Oryzias latipes: one gene and its partners. The protein of the gene in region 4 binds, or shares a complex with, the protein of the main gene of each other region. Links are inferred from orthologs where the notes say so. Each region holds a gene or a part of one and is shown on either strand. Other genes may lie near its edges. The genes, in order: map3k5, dcp1a, pak1, dab2ip and arhgef6.

Region 1 (3,962 bases), on a different chromosome or scaffold from region 4:
ATGGATGGATGGATGGATGGATGGATGGATGGGTGGGTGGACAGGTGGATGGATGGATGGGTGGCTGGATGGATGGGTGGATGGATGGATGGGTGGGTGGACAGGTGGATGGATGGATGGGTGGGTGGACAGGTGGATGGATGGGTGGATGGATGGATGGATGGATGGATGGGTGGATGGATGGATGGGTGGCTGGATGGATGGATGGATGGGTGGACAGGTGGATGGATGGATGGATGGATGGGTGGATGGATGGGTGGATGGATGGGTGGGTGGGTGGATGGATGGGTGGATGGATGGATGGGTGGCTGGATGGATGGATGGATGGGTGGACAGGTGGATGGATGGATGGGTGGCTGGATGGATGGATGGGTGGATGGATGGATGGGTGGGTGGACAGGTGGATGGATGGATGGATGGATGGATGGATGGGTGGATGGATGGATGGGTGGGTGGACAGGTGGATGGATGGATGGATGGGTGGATGGATGGATGGATGGATGGGTGGATGGATGGATGGGTGGGTGGACAGGTGGATGGGTGGATGGATGGATGGATGGATGGATGGGTGGATGGATGGATGGATGGGTGGATGGATGGATGGATGGATGGGTGGACAGGTGGATGGATGGGTGGGTAGGTCTGTGGATGGATGGGTGGAATCCTCTTTTTTCTTTAATCTTCTAAAAGTTAAAGTGTCCTTAAGTGCTGAGAAACACTTTATTTATTGTTATTCCCTAAATGATTTGTCTGAAAGTTCAGTTTCTTTAAAGTTGGTTGGAGATGATTCTGCGCCTGCGCTCTCTGTCTGGGCACACGTGTAACAGCGGCATGTGTCCACGGGGAGGCGTAGTGACGCAAGAGACAAGTGGGGGCAGCAGGCGTGACTGAAGTGAAGTCTTGTTTGTTTTTGTGAATTCCTGAACCTGCTGGACCGGTCGGTTTCGTTAAACACGAACCTCCTGTCGAACCTGACGCCATCAAAGAGCGACGTGACCGCGGAGATCAAACAGCCACCGCTCTGTCACGTCTGACAGGTGATTGAATCTGAAGCGAGGAATTGGATTAAGTTTTGATGTGCGTCCATCAAACGTGACGTCCCCGCCCCGCGCAAACAAACAGAAGCGGTGTGGAGGGAGGTGCACGCGCATGGCAGTCGCGTCACTGCGGCTGCGCGCCTCACTTTTCCTTTTGACAGCTGACGGCGCCGCCGCGGGGCTTATCAGAGTTTGGCTCGCGCGCGCGGCTGCACTACTGTTGCACAACTTAGCAGAAGTGCTGCCCCCTCAAACGGCATGCGCGACTTCCGCGGCTCCTCCTCAAGCCGAACCCACCGGACTCCGCTGTGACTCGGCTGCAGGCGCGCGTGTTTCTGGCGATGCGAAGCCGCGCCTCTGCTTTCCGCCTGCAGACGGGCCGCCGCGCGAGCAGCCGCCGCGCGTAACGCCGGCGCTCCATGGAGGAGTCGCGGCGATCCGAGCTTTAAGAGCGCGAGACTGACACTGAAATGGAGCAGGACGGGATTTCCTTACCGGTGCCCTGCGTGGGCGCCGTCAGCGGGGAGGCGTCCGGCGGGATCCCCGCCGCCGGGACTTTCTGGCAGGACTCGCTGGTCCCGGGCGGCGAGCACAGCCCGACCCCCCGGGACTGCGCGGACGGCGGGGGCTTACTGTCCACCGGCAAGGCGGGCAAAAGCAGGCCGGTGACGGTGGCGTACGTGGTGAACGGGGAGGCGAGCCAGCAGAGCAACGCGGAGAACATGGCACTGCAGTGCCTGAAGGACGCCTGCGAGACGGCGGGCAGCAAACTGGACACCGTCAACTTCGGGAAGCTGGACTTTGGGGAGACCGCGGTGCTGGACCGGTTCTATAACGCAGGTGAGAGCATCCGCCAGTCCTGCTGGAGAAGTCTCACTGCCTCCCACACAAACAAACAAACATCAGCTGCCACTATGCAGGTGGGGGGGTCGCTTTCAGAACTCCTCTCTTTCTGCTGAGTCATGGTTTGGGCCATGAGGTTGAACTTTCCACTAACATTTTCTGTGACTCTCCGCCTGTGTCCACGCCGCCCTTCTAGTTCAGGAGGAGAAAGGAGCCCGTGTTTACATCCTTTTAAAGAACCGAGATGACGTCATTAAAAGTGAAGACTTCATGAACTCCATCCAGACTAGACAGAGGAAGAAATCAGTCAAATTAATCGATAAGTTTAATATTTTAAAGATGATTTTGAAGCAATTTTTTTAGAGAAAAAATTATGAAAGTGACTTTTTAGGAGATTAAAATTGTAAAAATAAATAAAACAACATTTAGATTTAATTAAAACTTTGATTTCACATTTTTAGTTGAAGGTAAATATTATTTTAGTGTAACTTTTTTATTAGTTAAAAAATTCTGCCTTTTTTCTATTTAAAAGTCAACTTTCTATTCATTGAAACCATTTAAAGTCCCTCTCTGATCATCTTTTGATCTAATGTCCAAGCATTTTAATCATGATGATGCAGTTTTTAGCCAAAATCCTAAAACCTGTGTCATTTCCTCGGACTGTTTGAGGCGTGTCATAGAAAATTCACCTCTGCATTGAGGGCGGGACTTTTGGGGCAGAGCCACCCCAGAACCTCTTACCCTTCCCGTTGCTGAGAGCTCTCTGTTTACATGCTCTCCCGCTATCCTACAGTCCCTCACCCCCCCAACATAACATTATCAGTGCAACAGGAAAGGTGAGCAATACTGGGACTACTGGAAAAACAACAACAACCAATTATGGCAACAACAGCAAATAGCAGATATTCATTCTATTATTGTTATGTATTTCGGCAATATGATTTGTCTCCAAGATGAAATGTCTTTTCTTGTTTTCCTGTTTTGTTGAATAACTTTCTCCCAAAAGTGCGACTTATATGTTTTTTTTCTTTATTCTGCAAACGCCACAATCCCCCCTTTTCATCGTAGTGGGTCTTAAAAAGCGCCTGAGCTTCGTGACAGCGCGGCGTCTTTTACTGGAGTTTGATGTTTTCCCTCAAAGAGAGTAAAAGATCAAACTCTGAAAACATTATTGCTGTACTGTAGTGCCTCTACCCCCTGATGTTTCTGTCAGCTTCCAGCATCGTGCTGCAAACACGCCTCTCTTGGATGAAAACTAATGTGGGGAAATTTGGGTAAAATCGCTTGATAATCCCTAAACAATGACATTACAAGAAATGTTGGTACAAAAAAAGGCAAGAGGACTGGAACAGTTTTGCTTTATTTGTTGTGCAAACACAAGACGTTCCCTGGATTTGGTCTTTTTTTTCTCAGAAATACCTTTGGATGTTCTCACAGTACACCAGGGAGAACTATGGTATTTTCCCAGAATACCATGTTGACTTGGGGCGCTCATCCTCTTCTTATGCAAGAGCAGCAGCAGACGTGGGAATAAAAACAAGGCCTCGGGAGTTCAGAGGCTGGAGGGCTCCTCTTGCTAGATTCAACCGGTGGCGGCGGCGGCTCCTGCTCGCCGCTCTCTGGCCTCATCACATGACCCTGACGGCTGCAGATCCACAAACATTTGTGCTGCTAGTAGCTAGAAATATTAATTAAAAAAATATATATATCATCACCATCCGCACAAACACGTCTTTAGAGACAAACTGCTGTGATTATTAGCATCTTTATTTATACACAACGTGGTTAAATTGTTGTTGATCTTTGAAAAATATGCTGCTAATGTGTACATTAGCGTTCTTCCAGTTGCATTCCATGCTGCTACTTCGTCTTTCCTCTAACCCCTTAACCCCCAGTTCTATTAAAACGTCTACGTAAACGCACATATATGCGTGTTTCAGGCTTCCAGATCCAAAAGAGAAATGAAACACATTTAAATTGATGTGAAGCACCTGAAATGTGTCTATCTTCAGTTGGAATCTCTCCCTCTGGGGCGGCTGCGGTTCAGCCACCGCTGCTCTGGATGGATGGGGGCCTGCATCG
Region 2 (4,297 bases), on a different chromosome or scaffold from region 4:
GCACCATCAGCGTCCAAAGGGAAAAGGATGAGGTGTAAACAGGTGTGTCCAAGTGTTTCTCTGCAACACTATTCTCCACATCCAAGCACATTTGCAGTGAGCTCTGCACCACTCACAGGAGCGAAACGTAAACATTTAAACCCTTTATTTGGAGAATTATATTTGGATCCTGATCGTTTTTGATGGTGACATTTCTCCTTCAGAGGGTGGGTTGTTCTTTTGCAGGACTTTCAAGATCAGAATTGGAATCTCCACCTTCAAAGCCAAACCTACACTAAAGGAGAAAAAGCGCAGAAACATTTTTCTCTCCAAACAAGTGGATAAACTAACAGAGTGAGACGGGACTGAAAACCAACCGACGGAAAAACAAACAAACAAAAAAAAACCACTTCGACTAACGTTTGCAGAGAAAAGCTTAGTTGCCAAGACGGATGTATCTTCACCTCAACTCAAGGAGCATTATCAGCTAATGTTTCCTGAGAAAACTGCTCTTCATTTTATCTTTTTGAAACTAAAGCTGACAGAAAGGAAGTAAGCGATGACAAAAGCCCCGAAGACTTGAGTGAAGCTACTGGAGAAGCAGACTATATTGGATCACCAACAAAACACTGCATCATGGCTTCCATACCTGCCAGGCTGCTGGGAAAACCAAAGCCCAAAGGAGAACAATCCACTTTGACTTTAACCTTGGCTATGCTAACTTTTCTCATCAGCAAACAAATGGGAAAGCAGTCGAATTCTTTGTTCATCGCTTTGATGAAACTTCTGCTCAGACTCCTCATTGATTATCTTGGTGGAAGTGCTGTCAGCTACTTTTTGAAGATCTAGTATGGCGCAATTTTTTTCTATTTGACCCATTTTTCCAGGAGGAAATTACAGGATTGAACAATCAGCAAACTAAAACAATTATAGCAGAAGAAGTTTGATGAATGAAACTTTGAACTCTTTTTGCTTTTTGACCCAAATGCGAAGGATAACTGTTGCAAAACCAGCTGGAAGCGCTTGTTTACGAGGCCGCTGTAGGCCATGAATGACAAAGTGTTCCTGCTTAATGCTTCAAGAAGTCACCATGAGTTCAAGCAAAAAGGAGAAGAGATGTTCCACCGAACACTGGGGAGGTGTTTATCCAGAATGTTCAGAGGTACTGTCAGAATTATTTGAGCATTTGTGAACAATAGATTGTTCACAAACTAGGTATGACAGCCACTTTTGACAGTTTGTGAATCCGCGGTGCACTACAATGACTTATACATTAAGGTGGGTTCACAAAGAATAAAGGAAATGGACAAAAAAGCTGCAAATAAAACGGCGTATTTAAAAAACAAGAGTTAACTTGAAAATTTCCATTTTACTTTGGCAAAAATGTCCTGGATTACTCAGTGAATTGTGCTTTATTCTAATTTTGTATCGACAATGTGGTCAGAAATTTTTACGACTTCCTATTTTCAACAAAAAATGTGATCTAAGCATTAAATCAGCATGTCTTCATCTCAACTCAAGACGTTTCACTCTATAATCATGTGGGCAGCCTCATCCTGGTTTTAATGAATACCTTGTAGCTTCAAAAGATCACTATTCCTTGAAATCTACTTAAATAGAACATCATTATAAAGCACTTTTGAATTAAATTAATGATTACAACTCTTCCATACTTTGATGAGGATTTTTATTCAAACCACTTACAGTTGCCATTCTTGTAGAGCAAGAAAGGATCCTGCAGTTGGAATTCCAGGTCTTTGTTAATAGGCTCCACAAGGTTGACTGTACTTAATCTGTTCATGATGGTGAAGCCATGATAAGGAGAAGCAGACCTAAAAGGAACAAACATCACTCTGTTGATAATGCTTCATTGTTTACTGTTGACAAAGCAATTAAAAAACACTTGAAAAAAACTTTTATGACAGTGAAATGTTGGATATTTCAAAATTGATAAAAACATTTCTAGTTTTTACAATTCTTTGTTTAAAGGTAAATATAATCTGGCAATTTTTAAAAACAAGTTTTATTGTTAATTTTCCTAATGATTTTCTAAAAAAGACAGAAAATAAATGCACATGACTTGATTTAAAAATTTCTGAGGCAAAAAAAAGTCAGTTATATTAAATCATAAATGTACAGTTTTCTTGGCAAATTGTTTGATGAGCAAAATTCATTTTTTGTACTGTAAACATAAAAATCTAGGCTGGGGCAAGTTTTCTCGATTTGTTTACAAATACGCCTACGGTGGCCTGTGCACATGCGCAGAGCACCCAATGATGAAGTAAACAATCAAATTACGAGTTCAAGTGCTAATCTTACCTGGCATAAACAAACAGAGTGCCTTCGATGTCGGTCTTCTCCTAAAATGTTTAAAATAACATTACAAGTCAAAACATGTTCTGAAAAGGTGCTGCCGAATCTGTGAACAATAGTTTAACTAAAGGAAATACATTTAAAAATACAAAAATTGAAAGGACTAGAAATAGCATTAGCTAAAATAACGAAGCATAAAGGTCCACGTACGGTAAAGCTTTAGTGAACATAGTGCTACTGTCGCGTTTTGATTAACGAGGGCTAGCACCATGAGCTAAGTAAACATGATGATAAAGCCTCATTCGAATCACAGAAAATCATAAAGTAACTAATGAACTTACCCACTCGTTTACTTTAGAATTAAAGTTGTAAAGTGCAACTTGACCAGTTACATCTAGTAATTTGTTTATATAGGGGTCTTGTCTTTGAAGAGCTGCTAAGCTCATCATATGTCCCGCACTTACAGTTTCCATCTTGGATCGGTCTGTTGTACCTACACGGACGAATTTTTTTGAAACACTTTCAACTTCGCTTGTCCCCGGAAGTGGCGGCGCTCAAAAATAGTTCCCCACTTCCACTATTTTTTTTTAAAGCTCAACTTTATTGCACATTATGCCATTTTACAAAAATGTACTTTTAGGTATGAAAAAAAAACCACAACTGCAAATATCAAATACACTTCTGTAACAAACAGAAGAACAAGACTAGAAATAGTTATAAGCCAGGGGGTTAAACTCTACGAAAAAATACTGAATCTATCACATACAGACAATGTTCTGATTGCTTTTTGCTTCTCTGAATTTCGAATACTGTTGATATACTGATTTAATTTAGAAAAGAATACAGTGAAACAGGGTTTTCTACCTGAAAATGTACATTTATGAACATGGAATTTTGCCAAAATGAGTAAAAGATTTAGAAGTAAACAAGAGTCCTTTTGCATATTTTTTTATATTAGACCCAACAAGACATCTTTCCAAAACAAGACAAAACAAGAATCAATTTTATCATTAATAAAATCACACATCTTCTGCCAAAACACCTTAACTTTGGGACAATACCAAAAAAGATGGATAACTGTTTCAGGGGAATCACAACCAAAGCTACAAAGTGTCTCAATGTTTAATTTAAATCTGTTCTGGATAAACGTTTTAGTTAGAATTATTTTGATTTGGACCTAATTTCATAAGTTTTGTTAAAACAATCTATAACGATACGAACAGTGTAGTTATTTCACCGAATGGCATTTCTCCCAGATTTTTAATTAACAAAAGAATTAAACAAGGCTGTCCAATTTTCACCGTTGCTTTTTATAACAGCAACAGAAATGTTATCAATACTTATAACAAACTCTGGTTTCTGTAAACTCAATGTCCTGGGAGAACAGTTAGCCATTACTAAGCTGGCAGACGACACGGCCGTATTCATGAAGGAGAGTCATCAAATACCGGAGATCTTTCAAACCGCAGATTCCTATTCTAAAGCAACTGGTTTAAAACTAAATCTCAGCAAGTGTGAATTGTAAGTAAATTTAAACATGTGGTCACAGCGTGACATTTCTATTCTGGGCAGAATGTTTCTCACTAAATTAGATTGTTTATCCAGATTCATTTATCCAGCATATTCACTCCCAATTCCTAAATCTGCAAGGAAAACAAGAAACCAGGGCAATTTTAACTTCATCTGGAAAAACAAAACTCATTACATAAAAAATGAATAATAATTCAGGATTACAGTGAAGGTGGATTTAAAGCCATAGACTTTGAAAGTTTGAATAGTATGATTAAAATAAATTGGCTTAGGGCTTTTCTGCAAAATGAAATAAATATTTTGTTTCATATTCCTTCAAACTTTTTCTCCCATCTGGGGGGCATTGAATTCCTCCTAAAATGTGATTTTGATGTAAGAATGCAGTCTATCCGTGCAAAGAACTACTACGTATACATTTTGGTTTTCCAGAAAATAACTGTTCTTTCTGTGACATAAATATAGAAACACTTGATCA
Region 3 (3,993 bases), on a different chromosome or scaffold from region 4:
TCCTCTACCTCCTTATGCAGAACTTCAGCGCCACCCGAGATCAAACCAAAACTATCTGGCCTATCTTTTTGGTGCCGCGCTCCAAAGCGCTTCCTAACTTCTCCTTTTATCTGACGTCACATCAGTAAAGTGGATTACAAGCTTAAAAACGGAGTCGCGCCTTTCATCCCCATCCAGCCAGACAGCTTGTTTCAGAGAGCCGGAGTCGGGGTTGGTCTAGACGCCGTGCAGCTCAGCCGCCGCCGCAGCCTTGCAGGCAAACAGTCTATCCATTATTCAGCTGCTGGCAGCCTTTTCGGCCGCTCAACTGCCAGTCTCTCTATTCATGCCAGTGTGGTGTTTGAACGCCCACCCGGCAAAGACAAATATCTGCGATGGGGAAGATTTGATTTCACGGTTTCTGGTATTCAGAGGTCTTTAAAGCAGCCGGAGCAGCGTGGTGACTCCACAAACACCGACGACTCTGTGTTTGATTAGTCATCATCTGGCTGTAGCTCTTGGGGAATCATGAGACTGAAAACAGAGAAGCCTATGTGTCAGGAATCCAACCTCACTACCTGCACCTTAAAAGCTCCAAGCTGGAGCGACGTTTCGTTTAGCGTACTAACCCTCCAAACTAGCTTTAGTGTCCTTTTTCTTTTAAAGACCCACTACGATCAAAAATTGTGCTTTTAACATGTTCTTGAGGTACTTTTTTGGACAATAGAGCGTATTGATAAAGTACATTAGGCTTAAAAATTGCATTTCTGAGTATTTGTGATGTAGAAAAATCACGCTGGGGGCGCCACAAACTCCCTGCTTCAAGTCCTCAGCAACAGAGAGGGGGAGAGGGGGCGGGCTTGCCGCCTCCACTTGCTGACATTAGTGAATTTTTGTTTCGTAGAACAGGAGAACATTCCAAATAGTATTTACAGCGTCCGTTTCTTAATTTCTGAGACGAGAGTGGCTCATTGCACATTTCACTGTATTCCATAAAACAAATGTTTACGAGTAAGTAGGTAAAGTCCTTCTATCTTCTTTTCATTAGACAACTCCAAAAAAAAAAAAAAAGTCACATTGCATCTTTCACTCTTGCCGTATCCATGGCAACCCGTTTTGTTGGTCCACATCTCTACACGACTCAGATCCCAAACAAACTGCCCCGTGGTTAAAAATAACTTCCATAACAGGTGAGACGCAGCAGACGCGGAAAACACACGTGCGCGCGGCCGCGTCCACGTGAACTCCACCGTCCTGGCCTCCGTGGAGAGACGCCCGGCCGAAACCGCAGGGGCCAAATGGGTCATTAACCCCCGCCCGCCTTCGCCGCCCTCTGTCCTGCTGTCACAAGGTGTCAAAGTGACAAATGGAGGGGAGGGCATTCCCCATGCAAGCCAATGAGCCTCTCCTTTTGCCACACCCAGGTTTCCATGGTAACCGCTTCCATAAATGTCTATTTTAGTCTACAAAAAAATTAGGACATAAAAGTTGGAAGAGATTTGCATTTATGCACATGGCTGATGTTTAATATTATTACAAAAAACACTTTTTTTAATACAGTAAAGTGGTTTGTTGTGTAAAAAGTCATTATGTTTTCCCCATTTTCAGGAATACGATAAAAAAAAATAATTATGTAACTTAAGTTTTGGTGTCTTTTTTGTTTTGTTCCATGAAGTTACTATGAATCTTCACTAACATGGGATTTGGACCACTCAACCACAGCAAACACAAAAAGAGAAATAAACAGAGAGCTCTCAGTGATGGGAAGGGTGGGCGGGGTTTTAGGCGACACAAGTTTTGTTTTTTGTTGGGTTTTTTTGCTAAAAATATCACAATCATGAGGGTTTTTTTTAACTGTTGGGAATGCTTTGAAAATAGCTGAACAGATGATGGGAGGGGGGACTTGACTTGAATACGGCAAAGTAGAGCTGCACTCATATCCACATAGATTGCTTTGGCATAAGCTGTTGGTGGACGCAGCTGAAAACCTCAGGATGAAGAACAGTGCAGCGGTTTCTGCTGATCCACGTGGAAACTCCAGCTTCTGAGCGTTTCTAGCAGCTTGCAGGGCTCTAATCAGAAAAGTCACGTTTACAGAAATCAATGATTGTACTGCAGGTGATGGGAAAACAGCTATAAGGGGGTTTGATGCATCAACTTTGACCAAACATTTAGTAGATTTCTGTGCTGAGCAGCTAAAGTAAGATTAAAATGCAAATAAAGAAAAGAAAATTGAGACACTTTTTTTCTTAAATGCATGTATGAACTGGTAAACAGGTTCAATTCCCTGAGAGAAAAGTGGCAGATCTTCATTCATTCTGCCTGCTGTGCTGCTATCATTTCCCACGTCGTCCAGTCATTTGGGAAGCAGCTGGTTTAATAAAATAATAATCAACCCGCCAACGCCTATGGCTGGAAAATCCTGACTATAAAAGTCCACCAAGCAGCGCACGTTGATGGGGGTTATGTTGAGGGGGAAACAAAGATAACAGCGTCTTTCCAGCACATTTCCCACCAGCTCCCTCCTTCATCCACACACGCAGCGCACCACCATGCTGGCCGGCAACGCAGCCCATCAGCTGGGAAAACCTGCTGAAATAAAGTAGGGAAAAAAAGCTCCGCTCACCAAATGTCTGACAGCAAATTCAAATGTCGTTGCTGTCGGTTTGAGTGTTTTTCCTCCGCCGGCTCACAGCGTCTCATGTATTCCGAAAAGTCCTGCTCCTCCGGAGGCTCAGACCTGCTCCGCTCTGCCGCCCTCGCCTGATTTTTTTTTTAGCTATAAAACTTGCCGAGCCCAGGCTATTGTTAGCCAAGCGCAGAGAAGTCTGCTGCATACAAAGTCCCGCCTCCTCACCGGAGCGTTCGGCCACGCCATTGGTTGGTCGTCCACACTGCCTCATTTCTATTGGCTGACAAAGATGTCCGTCTAAACTCTCGGGGCGGGTCCCGACTCGCCGGCAAAACCGAACGACCTATGCTGCATTCACGTAACAAATAAAAAGTGCGCATTTGTAGACACTCACGTATGGGTTGTCCCTGCGTGTTGCCTTCATGTAACCATGTTATGGAAATATTAACTACAGAAAAAAAGGATATTTCAAACACACAGCGGTGACGTCGTTATTTAGATGAGCTTCACAGTGAGAGAGAACTCTCCTTTAAAATAATTTATTTTAGATTATTAAGTCAATAAGAAAGAAACAGATATAATTTTTAAAACTCAGATGACATAATTTTTTAATGAAATTGCTCGTCCGTAAGGTGAGGAGTGAACATTTCTCTCAAAAAAACATTAAAGAACAGAAAACAATCCTTTTTTCCTATAGAAAGTAACAAATGTGTACATTCAATAAATTGAGTTTATATTCCAAGTAAAAATAATGTATATAATGTATGTAAAATACATTTCATTAACATTTTAATGCAATTTCAGGTTTTGAATGCCTATCTAAACATTTGGATTCTTGACATTGATTCCGTCAAGTGGACCAATGAAACCTTGTTCAACGTTTTAACCAAGGTGAGGATTGCTAAGTTTGCCACTTTTGTAAATGTCTTCTGTTACAGATGTGTACTTTGTTGTACTCTTAGAAAGCCTTGAGCTTTTTATACAAGTACTACTTGTTGGTAATTGATCTTTGTATGTAATATCCCCTTTTGTGGAATCAATAAGGTTTTGTTCTATTCTTCTATAACATAAAGGGAGGTCATATTTTGTTGATTTCAATTGCATTTATTTTAAAATCTTCAATTAACTTCCACGTTTGACTCAAAGTGCTACACAAAAAAATAGAAAGAAAAAAATCAGACAGAGCTTTATTATAATGACTTTTAGGTTACATGTCATCCTATACATGTTTTTTTTTTTTCTGTGATGACTATGTCGTTTTTAACCAATTTAAAACCGCCAATTCAAACTTTGATTTTATCAACATTAAGTGTATTTGACAAGTGACTGTTTTGATGCAAAAATCCCAGTTTTTTAAAAAATAAATTAGTTTAGTTCCACCT
Region 4 (3,514 bases):
TTTAGACTCACCGCTATGAAACCCAACTCACTTTGTGAAGTTGGCCAAGTTCTGCGTGACTTTGGCGATGAGCGTGAGTGTCCGAGCGGTGCGGTCGTCAGGGTACTCCTGCGTCAAGTTAAAGAGCGAGGGCGACATGATGGCCGGACAGAGGAAGCGCAGGAACAAGGAGGCGCTGATCAGACGCTCGCTGATGTCCGGCCGACCGCGGCTGCTACATTCCTGCCGCCATGACGCAAAAACCTCCTTTAATTCACGGGGAAAAAAGCTGGAAAAAAAAAAAAAAGTAAGGCCTTTATTTGATCTCTTTGGTCATTTGTTATTGGTCTGAAATGGTTGGGAAATCTGTCTTTAACTTTAGCAACAATTTATCTTACATAAACTTCAGTCAATCTCAGAAAAAGAAAAAAAGTAAAACACAAAATTATACCGTAAACACAGGAAAAACCTCTGATATGAACCACTTTAGTGGTGCTTTCACATCAGGACAATCCCGTAGACTTGATTTACAGTGATCGAGTGAGAAATCCAAAAATACTTTCATACTTTCACAGTAAATCTACCAAACCACATAAATGTTGACAAATTTATAACAGGTGGCCATTTGGGGGCAGTATTGATTGTCTATAAACAATCGGAGCAAAAAGAAAAAAAAAAAGCCCAAAAAAGTGGCCAATAACAGCCAGAGTATCACACATTGAACTTCTGCTTCATCTGCTTAAGCTTTCGTCACAACTGCCCTTACAGGTGGATACGGGCTGTCTGTGGGCAAAAATGGATAAATCTGTAAAGGCAAAAAAATTGCAAGGTTGTCAACCTGCGGGTGAGCCCGTAGAGCAAACATGTTCATGCACAATTATTCCTACGGGCGTGCTGTGTGATAGTGTCCCATGGTGCTCTTGGTTAGCACCTTGCATGGAAATCCTCCTGCCATCAGTGTGTGAATGTGTGTGTGTGTGTGCCTGGATGAATCAGGGCTTTGGGCCTTAACGAAGTTATAACCAGCCGTACAAGTATAATAGAAATTCAGGGATGTGTGGATGGTTGTTGTATCTAGTGGCAAATTGTTTGTTATGTTATGGACTGTTTGTGGGTGAAAACTGTGTAAAACTGTACGGGGCACACAGGTCGTGGACCGCCAGTAGAACAAAAATGTAACTGAATTTTTTTTCCCAATGGGGAAGCAGCCAGGGGACAGGTTGTCACTTATACAACACTCAAGGGAAAGTAAGGGTGTAGTGGGTGAAGCGGGTGGGATACGGGCGTTTGTTTGGACAACTGTCTGCACTCACACCAGGGTTCATTTGCAAGTAAACAGAAATCCTGTTTTTTTTAGACGTACAAGAGCCAGTCATGGAGTTTAAGTGTGTTTTTAAAAGAGTTTTTATCTGAATTCACACAGAGTCCTGAGTAAAAATGTGCCTGAGCAGACAGATCAGAACCAGCACGTCACGAACAGGCGGCAGCATTCACCAGTAGGACTTGATGATTTTGCAGAAGGCCAGCTCGCAGCACATCTTCAGGTTGCTCTGATGATCCGGCAGGTCACTGGAGGAACACTTGGAAGGATCCACCTCACAGTTCTCATCCGACTCGTACAGAGCTTTAATGAACTCACCTGAGGAAAATAAAAATAAAGACAATAATAAAAGCAAAACAAAAGTGCTTTGTTCATTTGTCGGAGAAGTACCAATGAAGGTGAATGAAAGTCATGAAGTGACAACAAGTGGACCTCTGTGACCCGTGAAGGAAATCAGGCTGATCTAATCTAAAGGAGAAATGTCTGTCCAAAGAGCAGAAATGTCATTATTTAAGTTGTTTACCTTTAAACAATGTTTTGTTACATTAATGCTGAGGTCTGCATGCACCGAGAACTGCGCAGTCAAGCTTGCAGCAGAGACAAAAAAAAAGTACTGAGTGCTTTTTAAAGCAGCTATCTTTATTTAGAAACTGAATAATAGACTATAGTTCTGAACAAGGTTGAGCTGGGGTGAAATCTTTACACATTAAACTTATTTTAATTATCTGATAATCAAGTTACACTTCAAAAAAAGGTTATTATGTGGGTTAAAAATGAGAAAAGTCAGCTTCATATTTCTGTGTCATACAGAAGAGATAAACCAAAGCAATATTTTTTAGTGTTTAACACTTTGAAATACTAAAACAGTGTCTAAGATGATCACACCATCTTTGTTTTTGAAGCGGTCAGAATCTCTTTTTTATTTGTTTAACATATAGAGTATCAAAGAGCCAAGGGTTTTTCTCTCCTCTAACAGGCAGGCTGCCTTTTAGTCGACAGCCTGAGGCATCTTCTTCAACTTGAGAAACGTTCCGCTTCTCTGAGGAAAACAGATAAAATGTCTTTACTTTTTTGACACGTCAACAGTTACAACCTTTCTTTAAAAAACAAAAAAGACAAACTGTGCGGAAAGTTCTAATTTCCTCTCTAGAACCATATTTCTTCAAAACTCCTGTTGAATGGCAGGAGGAAACCTAAAGCCGCCTTAAATTGAAGAAGATTTTAGCTGCTGTGTAGATTATTCATCGTGTCATTATCAGAAGAAGGTAAACAAACAGAGTGACAGCAAAGACAAAAGCAGAAAATGTTGCTAAAGAATTGAGTTCACAGCTAAAACGGATCATTCTGCAGCTGCTAAAATCTCACTTTTACCCTGAAAAACCCACAGGGTCAAATCTGGCTACTGGTTTTTATTCTTTTTTTATTTCTTTTTTCTTTTTCTTTTTTTGAGTGCTGTTAGTTGCCGCTACCCAAAATGTGTTAGCATACAATGTTTACACAGCGTCATGGCCCAGGGGCCGTTTGTGGCCCAAAAACTATTTAATCTGGATTATTATTCCAAACTGGAATAAATCATATTGATAACACTCATCAATGTTTTATTTTCTGGTGTGTCCCCATAGACGGTGCGCCACCAATAAATCCGACCTTTGCTTAGGTGCAGAAAGTGCGGAAGGGGATTAAGGCCATGGAGAAAGAAAAAAAAACAGGGCATAGAAAAATCTGACTTAAATCTCAGAATTCTGAGAAAAAAGTCAGCATTTTTATATGGATTAGGGCCATAGAGAATTTTTTTTCTTCTCCATGGGTCTAATCCTCTTCCGTAAGAAAGTTCTTCTAAATTTATAGTGTGTTGAAAGATTTCCTGTTTTTTTTTTAATGTTCATGTCGGACCTTCATTTTTTTCAATTATTTCATGAACGCAGCATTTCTCCAACGTTGCATTTTTCCCTGATGGACATCAACCTATAACTGTAATTGGCACTAAAATAAGAACAAAAGCCACAGTTTGGAAATAAAACCCCTAAAATGTGCTGTTTTAAAATATATACATTTATTTTCAATCACAATAAAAGCACATTTTCGTTCAGATTCCATGTCATTTCTTTCTCTGATCTGCTTTTGGTCGAGCCCTTTTGTCAAATTTTAGAACTCTTTGAGGCCCGTGAGACAAAGAGTTGTGCCGCCGCTGCCCAAACCTCTAAAAGACCGTGC
Region 5 (3,514 bases), on a different chromosome or scaffold from region 4:
ATTAAGTTGCTCATGAAATCGTATCATTTCACATAACATGACAATTTTCCTCCAGCTTCCATTGAAAGCAGTGTCATGCACGCTTTTCCACAACTCACAGCTTCGACCAAACAGAATGCTGCAGCAACGCGGCGTGGCAGCACTGGGTAAATTACAAGTGACATGACAAGGACGCTACGACTGAAACGCGACGCGCTCGCTGTGAAAGAAAGCCTCGCTTTGCTTGTTAACATAACCACAACTTTATATATCCTGTCAACAGTCAACTTCCTGTGTGCATTCTGAAGAGTGTGCATGAGGACCCAGACAATTATTCTCTACATTGCTAAAAATCGTCATACCAGCTCCACTAATATTACTGATATGAATCTTTTTCCCCACAGTATTGACAGCTAAACTCACATCAACATTAAGAATAGTGAGAAGGGATTTGAAGGAAACTTTATTCACGTCCTGAACCTGCATAAACTAACTTTAGCGTGAAATATGTCAACAAAGCATCACTCTGACACCTTGTGAACTGAAGTGTTACTACAGGCTGGCAAGACGACAACAATTAGTTCTTACAAACCTCAAACATCAATAAGATTAAACACCTTTAACAAAAGGAATACTGGAATGTTATAAACTGCTTGAGTTTATTCTTTTAATTAGGTTTATTGGAACATTTTACACACTTTTGTTAATTGTTAATTGATCAAAAACCAGTCAATCTCATTTAAGACATGTGATTTAGTAATCAAAAATCTAGTACTACAGATGCAAATTTGAACGTCAGAAAACGTCTCTTCCAGGTGAAGTCACCTGACCTCATGGGGGGTCTTGTTCTTACCTGTGGTCTGTCAGGATGCAGACAGCTGAGGGATGGCTGGAGCAGTAGGTTAGGTAAAGGTTCTTGATTTGAGGCATGAGGTTCAAATAGCAGGCTGCCACCCTCTGCTGCCCCTCTGGGACTCTGCACATTGAGAGAAAAGGCGAGAAGGCAAGGTAGAGAAATATTAAAGGGTTGGGAAACAACATAAAACGACATTCTGTCATGCTATCAATTTACTTGTTTGAAATACTAGTACTTCTTTCCTGTCCTGAAAAGGGTCTGTCTGGATCAACAAAACACAATCCTGGGCTCTAAAATGTTACTTGGAAATGAGGGGGTGTAAGACCAAAAAGAAGCTGGCTGTTCACTGAGAGCCCTATCCAAAAACATTAATGGGAAGTTAAATGGAAGGACAACCTGACATAAATATGAAGCTCATTCAGTAGATCAGTGAGTTCCATGAGGACTGGACTGCTGTTAGATCTTTGAGAGCCACAACGGACACGTACATCACAACATGGACTTAAGCTGCTGCAGTCCTCACGTCAAACCACTCATGAACCACAGACCGAGGATTTATCCCTCAATTCAAGAGAAAAGGAAACAAAACCATTCCTTGGGATTCCAAAGCCATCATTTGGAAGAGCAGCAGAGGGGCACAGAATTTTCCTGAGGTTTAGTGTTTCCTCAGTCAGCCATGTTCGAATGATACTTGTCATCTACTGCTGCTGCTCCATTAACTGTACAGTGTGTTCCAAATTATTACTCAAATGGGATTTTTTTAGGATCTTTCTTAATTATCAATGCAAATGAGAATCAGCATAATTTTCAAGTCACTAACCATTAGAGTATATATTAAATGTTTTTGAACAAACCTAAAGATAACAGTATTTGTTTCTTTCAATGCACTGTTCCACATTATTACGCACAACAGTTCCATAACGTTTGATAGATTCAAAAGAATTGAAAATGGTAATTTGTTGAATTTTTTGCATTACGAAATCATATTTACTTAAACCAAAAGCTATTCCAATCAAAAACATCTTAATAGGTCAAGTTACATTTGAACATAGGACCCCTTATCTTGTAGCATCTTCCCAATTCTTGCATCCATTGAACTTGTGAGTTTTTGGAGAGTTTCTGCTTGAATTTCTTTGCAGGATGTCAGAATAGCCTCCCAGAGCTGCTGTCTGGATGTGAACTGCCTCCCACCCTCATAGATAGTTTGCTTGAGGATGCTCCATAGGTTCTCAATAGGGTTGGGGTCAGGGGAAGATGGGGGCCACACAACCAGTTCATCTCCTATTCTTTCAGTAGCAGCCAATGATGCTGATGTATTCATTGCAGCATGAGATGGTGCATTATCATGTGTGAAGATGATTTTGTTATGAAAAGCACTGTTCTTTTTTTTGTACCACAGAAGAAGGTGGTCAGTCAGAACCTCCACCTACTCTTCAGAGGTTATTTTCAAACCTTCAGGGACCCTAAAGGATCCGGCCAACTCTCTCCACATGATTCCAGCCCAAAACATGACTCTGCCACTTTATTGCTGACAATGCAGACTTGTTGGGACATTGTGGCCATATACTAACAACCCAATACTCCATCCATCTGGACCATTCAGGGTTGCATGGCACTCATCAGTGAACAAGACTGTTTGAAAATTGTTCTTCGTGTATGTCTTTAACCACTGCAGCCATTTCCGCTTGTTAGTGTTATTTATGGGGTGGCCAATCAGAAGGTTGACATCTAAATACAAGCCTCTGAAGGATCCTACACCCTGATGTTTGTGGGACTCCAGAGACACCAGCAGCTTCAAATATATCGCTGCTGTTTTGTAATGATATTTTAGAAGGTGCTCTCTTGATTGGATGCATTTGTGTGGCAGAAAGCGTCATCATCCTGCCTTTATCTCTACAAACCCCTCTGTGCTCCGAATCAGCCACAAATCTAATATTACGATGATCACGCTTCAGTCTTCATACCTCGTCTAAGGCACTTAACTATTTCAGGCTTTTCAGCAGCAGAGATCCTTTTTCTTTCCTATATTTATTGAAAATGTCAGTCTACTTAATAATGTGGAACATCCTTATTTAGTAGTTTTTCCTTTAATTGAACTCACCTTGCAAACTAATTATCACAGGTGTCTGGCATTGATGTCAGTGATCCAAAGAGCCCCAGGACATAATATAATCCATGAGTGTAATTAAAAAACAAAGAATGACATTTTTGACCCTTATATACAATCTGGACGCACTGTATTTTATCAGGCTCACAGTTAATGCAGTCACCTACAAGGAAGTTTAGGAGTACTTTATGGTTCTCCCTCCTGACCTGCTTTATGGAAATTATTGTTATTTTCCAGTCTTTGCACCTGCCCATTCTGCTAAAGCAATCAGCTCCTGAATTAAAAAAGCTTCACTGAATCATCAAATCTATGAATCCATTGTCTTTAAACAAAAAGAACTGCTTTCTGTTAGCATTAAATGCAAGAATTAATACTGTTAGTAATATTTTGAATGGAATTTTGAAAAAGAAATCAATATTGAATCAAAATCAATAAATAAATCTAACCAGGCATTTTTTTAATGAAATCATGTGATACCCAACCCTTTGCAGCAGTTCATGCAAATCTAGAATATTTGTTAATTTCATATGCTCTTTTCTACATGACTTACTTTGTACAATCGTCTAAAGCTG

What was found.
Region 1: dab2ip (region 4) and map3k5 share a complex: the UniProt entries of both Homo sapiens proteins name them as parts of the cytoplasmic complex. The link is inferred for Oryzias latipes from reciprocal best matches to the Homo sapiens genes DAB2IP and MAP3K5.
Region 2: dab2ip (region 4) and dcp1a share a complex: the UniProt entries of both Homo sapiens proteins name them as parts of the cytoplasmic complex. The link is inferred for Oryzias latipes from reciprocal best matches to the Homo sapiens genes DAB2IP and DCP1A.
Region 3: dab2ip (region 4) and pak1 share a complex: the UniProt entries of both Homo sapiens proteins name them as parts of the cytoplasmic complex. The link is inferred for Oryzias latipes from reciprocal best matches to the Homo sapiens genes DAB2IP and PAK1.
Region 5: dab2ip (region 4) and arhgef6 share a complex: the UniProt entries of both Homo sapiens proteins name them as parts of the cytoplasmic complex. The link is inferred for Oryzias latipes from reciprocal best matches to the Homo sapiens genes DAB2IP and ARHGEF6.

Annotation. Positions count from the first base shown.
Region 1 is NC_019882.2:18,794,206-18,798,167, reverse strand, and holds the start of map3k5 (mitogen-activated protein kinase kinase kinase 5), read left to right. Parts: upstream 1-1,154; 5' UTR 1,155-1,507; coding exon 1,508-1,877; intron 1,878-3,221; exon of another isoform or gene 3,222-3,548; intron 3,549-3,871; exon of another isoform or gene 3,872-3,962. UniProt on the Homo sapiens protein: Serine/threonine kinase which acts as an essential component of the MAP kinase signal transduction pathway. Plays an important role in the cascades of cellular responses evoked by changes in the environment.
Region 2 is NC_019865.2:7,301,744-7,306,040, reverse strand, and holds the start of dcp1a (mRNA-decapping enzyme 1A), read right to left. Parts: upstream 2,805-4,297; 5' UTR 2,766-2,804; coding exon 2,634-2,765; intron 2,340-2,633; coding exon 2,299-2,339; intron 1,812-2,298; coding exon 1,684-1,811; intron 1-1,683. UniProt on the Homo sapiens protein: Necessary for the degradation of mRNAs, both in normal mRNA turnover and in nonsense-mediated mRNA decay. Removes the 7-methyl guanine cap structure from mRNA molecules, yielding a 5'-phosphorylated mRNA fragment and 7m-GDP.
Region 3 is NC_019871.2:4,499,026-4,503,018, reverse strand, and holds the start of pak1 (serine/threonine-protein kinase PAK 1), read right to left. Parts: upstream 2,803-3,993; 5' UTR 2,606-2,802; intron 1-2,605. UniProt on the Homo sapiens protein: Protein kinase involved in intracellular signaling pathways downstream of integrins and receptor-type kinases that plays an important role in cytoskeleton dynamics, in cell adhesion, migration, proliferation, apoptosis, mitosis, and in vesicle-mediated transport processes.
Region 4 is NC_019870.2:6,391,303-6,394,816, forward strand, and holds part of dab2ip (disabled homolog 2-interacting protein), read right to left. Parts: intron 1,619-3,514; coding exon 1,474-1,618; exon of another isoform or gene 1,403-1,473; intron 269-1,402; coding exon 32-268; intron 1-31. UniProt on the Homo sapiens protein: Functions as a scaffold protein implicated in the regulation of a large spectrum of both general and specialized signaling pathways.
Region 5 is NC_019868.2:11,013,377-11,016,890, reverse strand, and holds part of arhgef6 (rho guanine nucleotide exchange factor 6), read right to left. Parts: coding exon 3,493-3,514; intron 956-3,492; coding exon 833-955; intron 1-832. UniProt on the Homo sapiens protein: Acts as a RAC1 guanine nucleotide exchange factor (GEF).